Callithrix jacchus: one gene and its partner. Each later gene encodes a partner of the first gene's protein in a complex. Links are inferred from orthologs where the notes say so. Each region holds a gene or a part of one and is shown in the gene's direction. Other genes may lie near its edges.

Region 1 (3,685 bases):
ACAGTAAATATAAGTAAGCATTCCATTTGAAGGAATTTATCACTGTGGGATATAAAACGTTTGATTTAAAAAAATCAAAGTTCACTTTAAAGGTACAGGATTTTCCAAGTTTACCACAATCTTCTAATATGTTTATGTTGTTTGGAAAATTTTTATCTAAGATTAGTATTCAGGAACTAAGGATTCGGTAAAGCACAAATGAAATGGGTCTTCTCTTTTGGGGCCATTCCAAAACTTCCATTTATAAGCTATCAGATGAAATTAAGGTAGAGTAAAACTTTTCCTTAACTTTAATATGTGAGAGTCTTTGTCCTGACTGGGTTTCTGGGGTAAAGAAGGCAAATGGCCCAATGATAAGATAATGACTGCATTTAAAAGTGGGAAGTTACTGAGCGTACCTGATACCATAGGTAGTGTTTCTTAGTGCCATTGGAATATTTCCATATCAGAACAGAGGTAGCTTAATGGTGAGGACAACAAATCCTTATCGAGCCTCCCTGCCATCAGAACTAGCTTATGTCTCCACATTTGTGAGAATGTTTTTTCACTTATTCTTTAGATAACTGGATCTCAACTGTGTCTGTACTTTGGAATCATGGGGGGAATTTTAAACTAATGATGATGGCAGGGCCCCATCCCCTGAGATTTGGAAGCAAATAGTCTGGGTACAGCCACGGCTCTACCCAGTCCCATTATAGGGACTTCTCAGGTGGACCTAAAGATTGAGAACCATGACCACAAGCTCCAGCAGAGGTTTAGGGTAGTGTTTCCTAAACTTAGGCCATCAGTGGTCTTACTTCACTGAGTCTCACTGGTATTATTTACTTAAAAAATTTTTTTAAAGTAGACTTGGTAATTTTGTGCATATATACAGAAAAGTATGCAGAACATAAATACATAGGTACGTGGATTATCATAAAGTGAAAACCCATGAAACTAGCAGCTGATCAAAAAAGGGGATGTTGCCAGAACTCCAAAGTACCCCTCATGTTTACTCCCAGTTGCCATCCTTCCTTTCCTAAATTAATGGTAATCTTGATTTCTAACAGTATGCTTCAGTTATGCCTGGCTTTTAGTGCTGAGGTTGAGGGTGTTATGGTGATACGGGCTATAACATTACATGGCTGGCTCCTAGGGTTCTCAGGCCATTACCATATAGAACATGTAAATGTGTCTGCAGGTTTGTTTCTTGAGTATTATTAATTCATGGTCTGCCTAATGACACCCCTTCACCCTTAATGACTTCATTCATTCATCTATTCACTGTGCCTGCTGATGTGCTAGGCCCTTAGCTCAGGTATGGACAGTCTGCAGAGGGGTAGGCAAGGTCTGCAAGTTATGGCATTGCTATGTGCTGTGCTATGCCAGTGGAAACACAGGTCCATGGGGGCAATTTGAAGGATGAGGAAGAAATGAAAGATATGTCAAGAGGGAGTGGATGAGTTTTAAACTGAGACTATAAGGAGGAGTTGCCTAAGCTAAACAAAACAAAACAAAACAAAACAAAACAAAACAAAACAAAACAGTGCTTCAGGAAGCAGAGCCATTATATGCAAAAGCATATAATGAACATAAGATCATGTTCTAAAAATTAATTTAACAGGGATTCTTGGATAATAAGCAAATGTTTATTAAAGAGCTAATGTGGATGATGTTTAGAATTAGGAGAGACATTTACCTTTATTTGCAATATTCTAATATAAAGTGCTTTGGAAATTGGTTCTGTTATCACCTTTAAAAAATTATAGAGCAGCCAGGCATGGTAGCTCATGCCTATAATCCTAGCACTCTGGGAGGCTCAAGGTGGGCAGATCACCTGAGGTCAGGAATTCAAGCCCAGCCTGGCCAACGTGGTGAAACCTCATCTCTACTAAAAGTTCAAAAAAAAAAAAAAAAATTAGCCAGATGTGGTGGCACACACCTGTAATCCCAGCTACTTGGGAGACTGAGCTAGGAGAATCACTTGAACCTGGGAGGCAGAGGTTGTAGTGAGCCGAGTTCTCACCATTGCACTCCAGCCTGGGTGACAGACCAAGACTCAACAAGAAAGAGTGGGGGGAGGGAGAGAGATACTGAGATTTTAGAGCAGCAGAAAGAGAGAGAAAGAAAAAGGAAGGAAGGAAGGGAGAGAGGGAAGAAAGAAAAATTGTAGAGCAACACATTGCAAATAATGCATGACAACTGGGTATTTCTTCTTGGGGTATGCAGTGAGAGTCAGCCAGAGGCCCATAACACCTGGCAGGGTGGAGTGTTTCCCACTGTTGACATAGACACCTAATTATTTTAGTATGCCCTGCTCAGGCTTGTTATTATCAGAGGGTGTGTAGTGAGTTATTCCATTGGTTTTAAGATTTCCTTTGAGAGTCAGAAATGCAGGAAACAAGGCTACAGGAGTTTTGATAGCCACTGTTCTGGTGGAATAGAATAGTGTGGGTTCAGAGACTAAAGGCTAAAGCTAAATTTCACCCCCGTGGAAATGGAGTAGGCAATTTTGAGAATTATAACTTGTCTGTCTAGTTCTGGATTTGAACCTAGAAAGTTCCCTTAAAAAGTTGTATTTCTAATGGTTCCTCTAATTTACATTGATATGTTTGTATTGCCTCTTTACCCATCATGACACCTGGAATGTACATTATTAAGGTTGATTTGTCAGTTCTGGTGACCCAGAAGTTTTGGGCTCTCAGAATAAGAGAGAAGATTCTGTCCTCACCATGGCCCCTCTGCCACCTCTTCCAGGGCTGCGAATAAAGGAGACCAAGGAAGTTTATGAAGGTGAAGTCACAGAGCTAACTCCGTGCGAGACAGAGAATCCTATGGGGGGATATGGCAAAACAATTAGCCATGTAATCATAGGACTCAAAACAGCCAAAGGAACCAAACAGTTGAAAGTGAGTATATGTTTGTGGCCTCTTTTCTCTTGACACTCCCAGCACCGCGTGGCTTTGGGCAGGTGTTGTAACCTCTCTGCATCCCAGTCTCCTGACCTATGCACTGCAAGTATTGATTTCTCACAGAACTGTTTGAGGATATTGTGTGTATAAAGCAGTACCACATAGGAGGACTCAAGGAAGACAGCTCTTTTCTTAGTAACTCCTAGGAAACTGTTCATGTTAAAACATGAGCTGTGTGGTTAAGTCAAGAAACTGCCTCTGCCATCCCATGTTCCATATTATGACCATGTGTCAAAGACCCTGGGCTGGGTCTGAACCTGGGCATTAATTTTTCCAGTTATCAGTGCTCATGCTCATAGAAAGAAACAGCATTGAGTAATCAAATAGAGTTGTATAAAGATGATGGATGGACTTCCTAGGGGCCACATACAGAATCCTGACTGGAGTTGCTTATATCAGGAACCCTCTGTCATTTCAGTGGCTGGTTTTGCTCAGTACAGGGCTTTGAGGAGAGGCCAGAATGGTGACACTGGATAGCCATCAAAGGCACTCCTCAGCCACCTGTCCTGTAAGTCTTTAGGATGGAGGCAGTAGAGTTCCTAGGGGAAGAGCATGAGTTTTGGAGTCTAAGTCCTAAAGGAAAAACCTGGCTTTGCTACTTACAACTGCATAGCATTAATCTCTGAGTAGTAGTTTCTTTATCTGTTGAATGGGAATAATACTTGCCTGTCTTTCAGAGTTATGGCTTTGGGTGTGGCGCCTAATTACCTAATGAATGATAGCTGTTAATGTGT
Region 2 (4,177 bases), on another chromosome or scaffold:
TATGGTTAAACAACAGAGTACTATTAGGGGTTTGGGCTAGAGGCAGGTAAAGTTCAAATCCTGGTTCCCATACTTGTTGTGTGCACTAAGAAAATAATTTGACATCTCTATACATTAGTTTTTAATCTGTAAAATACGACTGATAATATGGAGGGTGTCTGAAAACATATATTGTATATCATTTATTATTTTGCTTTACATTCTGTAGCACCCTCTAGTGGTGTGTACAAAAATATGCATTGCATTTCTACTCTCCAAAGCAGTGGTTCTCAAACTTCAGTGTGTGCTGGAATCACTGGGATAGTTTGTTAATAACACAGATTATCAAACCCCACCCTGAGAACTTCTGATTCATTATGTTTGGGGTCGGACCTGATAATGTGAATTTCTGACAACTTTTCAGGTTATACTGATGTTTCTGGTACATCCAGAAAACATACCTTGGGAACCACTGCTCTAAAAAAATCCTCCCTGTGTGTGTATACAAGTATATATGATAGATAACTGAAAGGGATATGATTTTTGTTATTTGACTTTGATCTAGTAGTGCTCATCTAATAAGGACTTGGTGATGAATTTTTTAAAAATCGACGTGAAGGATATAACATAGCATCTAAAATACAGAAAGCATACAAAAAACTGAGGGTCACAAAACATAAATCATTTGCCCAGCGTACTGAGGTGATGGAATGTGGTCTACAATTAGGTCTCTTACTCCAAAGACACAATAAAGTTTACCAAAAACACTACAGAAAATAGGGTGTAAACACACATATCTGATACAAATTTCAAGAGAAAAGGAAAATCAGTTTTCAATACCAGGGTCCAAGTTTTACTGATGAGTTCTTACCTATCTTTACTGACTGAACAGCTATCTGTATTTTCAGTTTGGGTGAATTGTGAGCATTTGAAAAGGTGAGGAAAAAGGGTTAGCATATTCAACATCAGTGCTTGGGTCATTCATTAACTCTGATTAAACAAGGCAAGGACAAAAGAAGAGAGTGCTGGAGAGGGACCTTTTTTTTTTTCCAAGGAGAAAAGGAAAGAAAGAAGCAAAATTATTTGGACCTTGGATCATAGTCCCCTGCCTACTTGTGTTATTTACAGAAGTTGATTTTATTTTTCCCTAGGAATGAACGACAGCCATGATCCTCATAGATTGTAGTGTTCAGCAAATCAGAAGGGGAGTGGGGAGAACAAAACCCCATAATCCCAGGGACCAAACAGCCAATCCTTTGCTGGGATTTGGCGGCATCTAGTGGGAGACTCGAGAGGTATAACCCTAACCCACAGAACTTTCTGGAAAATTAACAGTGCGCATTTGCCTGAAGAAGGGCAGTGTGCGTGCTTGGAAATCAGGACGCAAAGGTAAGAGCGCCTCAATCCCCACAAAAATTCGGAGTCCCTAATGAAGGGGAATGCTGTCGTATAGACATTCCCATAGGAAAATTGTATTTGTGCCAAGAAAACTGCATGCAGCCTTGGAGGGAGGGGGGGAGGTTTGGAGGAGGGGAGGAAGGAGGATACTAGAGAACTTGAAAGAAGCCTCTCTTTGCAGTTGCTAATGTGGCGATGGAAGGGTTTGGCTCTTAAACCACTGGAGGGCTGTGGTTTACAGTGGGATTCTGGCAGAAAGGAAAACGTAGGGAGTGTATTTTTTTAAGTCTTTAATTAAATCAGTAGAGAAAGCCAAAATATTTCTGACAAAGCCCCTTTTATCTCTGTTATTGTCGCCTTGCCTTAATTATTTTCCTTTTCATTAGAACATTTTCAAACAATACAGAAATAGATAACAACCTGCGCGCCGTAGCTAACCCCTCCCCTCACCGCCCCCCAACACCAGCAGACACGCGCGCCCGCGCGCCCGAGTGCCGGTGCGCGCTGTGGCTCTCACCAGCCCGACGCCCGGGGCGCACGCCTGCGCACACACATTACCTCCCGCGCCACGAGGGCCGGTGCGCGCTCCCAGAGCAACCCCAGGGCCCCACGCGAGCCTTCCCGCGCACTGACACACTGGCCTTAATGCCTTGCGCCCGCGGCACTCGGGACCCTCACTCGCAAACACAGCAGAACCCCCATTGCGTCTTTTTTTTTCATGTTCGGAGAGTTGCGCCACAGGTCTGGGGGCGTGGCCCCAGATATGACCTCTCGCTTCCCCACTCGCGGGAACCTTAGCTCATTTCCGCCTATCCTATTTCCGCAGGCCACGTAGACACTTCCTCTCCCAGTGAAGGAGGGGGGAAACACAAACCCATAATGCCTCCCTGCAGAAAAAAAAAAGAAAAGAAAAATTAAAAAAAAAAAACCTTCTGGTCAGAGGAACTCTGGGTCGTGAAATAGGCCACGTGAACATTCTGCCCTATAGACTTATGACCCAACGGCTGTCACGCTTTTGGAGGGCGGGCTAAAAACCTAAGAGGGCGAACGTCATTGGCCGGAACTCGCACTAACGGAGGAAGGTGATTGGTTTGCTGTAGGCCTTAACAGTGAAGAAGCAGGTTGCTAGCACCCGCCTTTACTGCGGCTAAGTGTCATTGCTGACGTGGGGGTGGTTATCCAATCATTTGGTTATGGAACATTCTAAAACTTAGACAAGACGATTGTGATTGGCTGAAGAGCATACGCCCTCCTCCAGGGTGACGTGTCTGCCTATGGATATCAGTTGCCAGAGAAACCTGGCTTTACTATGGCGGTTGGAGGAACGGCAGTGATCACACGTCGGCTGCTGGGAAGATCTGGATTCTCGTTTCAGGTTTCGGGGTGGGGGTGGGGAGAAAGGGTCGATGATTTCCTCTTTTCGTCGGGTAGAGACGGGATTAGCTAGTGGCTTCACAATCGGTCAGAGCTGGATTCAAATTCCTGCTTGCCAACGCCCAGCTTGGGCAAGGCTCCTGTTCTTTCTGTGTCTCGGTTTCCATGTTTGTAAAATGGTGATAATAATAGTATCTACCTCAGCGACGTTTACTGTATAATAGTGCGTATAGAGCATGTAATATGAAGCCTGGCTCCTGAAGATATTATGTATTGTTATGGAGATAAATAATCTGCGTAATAGAATGAGAAAAATTATAAATTATGCAGATTCGCTAATTGTAGTGCCCTTTCTACCATCAACTTCTTTCGTAGAATAAAAGATAAAAGAGATATATCGATTTTTAACAATGAAATAATTTGCTATTTGAGAATTGCCTGAAAATAGCATAGATTGTAATTTTTCCATATTGAAAAGTTAAATAAAAGGTGTGGGGGGTGCGAGAAAGAAAGAGATGGAGAACGAGAGCGAGCTGGAGATGAACCACATGCGATGAGTAGGCCTTGTTTGGATCCTGAATCGAACATACCAACTGTAAAAATACGTTTAAGACGCATCGGGAAAATTGGAACACGGATTCGATATTTGATGTTTTTTAAGGAATTGATGTCAGTTTTTTTAGGCGTCACAGTAGTATTGTGGTTATGTTTTCAAATTGTCCTTTTTTTGTAGAGACATATGCAAAAATATTTACGGATTAAATAATGTAATGTCTGAGGTTGACTTCTAAATACATTAATGACTAGGTTTTGCTTCAAAATAATCTCAGCGGTGGGGGGAAATGGGGAGGGGTATAGATGAAAAAAAATTAGCCCTAAATTAATAATAATTTAAGCTGATTGATACGCAGTGAGTTCCTTATATTTATCTGCTTTCCTTGGTATACGTTTAAATTTTTCTGGAATAAAATACAAAAGCCAGATATTCCGGTGAGCTTGAAAAAGTCGGGGGTGCGGGGGAGCAGTGGGTGGGGTTATAGATGAAACAAGATGGCCTTCAGTTGGTAATTGTTGAAAGCTGGATGATGGATTCATGTAGGTTTATAATACTATTTCTTTTATCCATTTGAAATTATCTTTAAGGAAAAGTTTTTTTTAAATTTGTCAGAAATTATATAAATGTACAATAAATTAAATTTGAAAATGTAGCCACAAGAAAGGAAAAAGAAACACTTGTACATTATTTATCAGCTTTGGTGTCCTTTGTGTGTGATGAAATTGCATTGGCTGATGAAGAAGAAAGCCATATCTCATATCTTTTTATTTTATGTCCTTTCCTGTCCTTTTGTTTGACCTTCTAGGTCACCATCCGAAAAGCTAAGTTTGCTGTATAGTAAGGATCAGGAGATCTGATCCTGATTGCAGA

The links. Proteins that work in one complex are often made in the same cells at the same time.
Region 2: RUVBL1 (region 1) and MORF4L2 share a complex: the UniProt entries of both Homo sapiens proteins name them as parts of the nuA4 histone acetyltransferase complex. The link is inferred for Callithrix jacchus from reciprocal best matches to the Homo sapiens genes RUVBL1 and MORF4L2.

The regions. Positions count from the first base shown.
Region 1 is NC_133516.1:74,046,359-74,050,043, forward strand, and holds part of RUVBL1 (ruvB-like 1), read left to right. Parts: intron 1-2,736; coding exon 2,737-2,888; intron 2,889-3,685. UniProt on the Homo sapiens protein: Possesses single-stranded DNA-stimulated ATPase and ATP-dependent DNA helicase (3' to 5') activity; hexamerization is thought to be critical for ATP hydrolysis and adjacent subunits in the ring-like structure contribute to the ATPase activity.
Region 2 is NC_133524.1:99,740,709-99,744,885, reverse strand, and holds the start of MORF4L2 (mortality factor 4-like protein 2), read left to right. Parts: upstream 1-1,312; 5' UTR 1,313-1,368; intron 1,369-2,683; exon of another isoform or gene 2,684-2,752; intron 2,753-4,112; 5' UTR 4,113-4,177. UniProt on the Homo sapiens protein: Component of the NuA4 histone acetyltransferase complex which is involved in transcriptional activation of select genes principally by acetylation of nucleosomal histone H4 and H2A.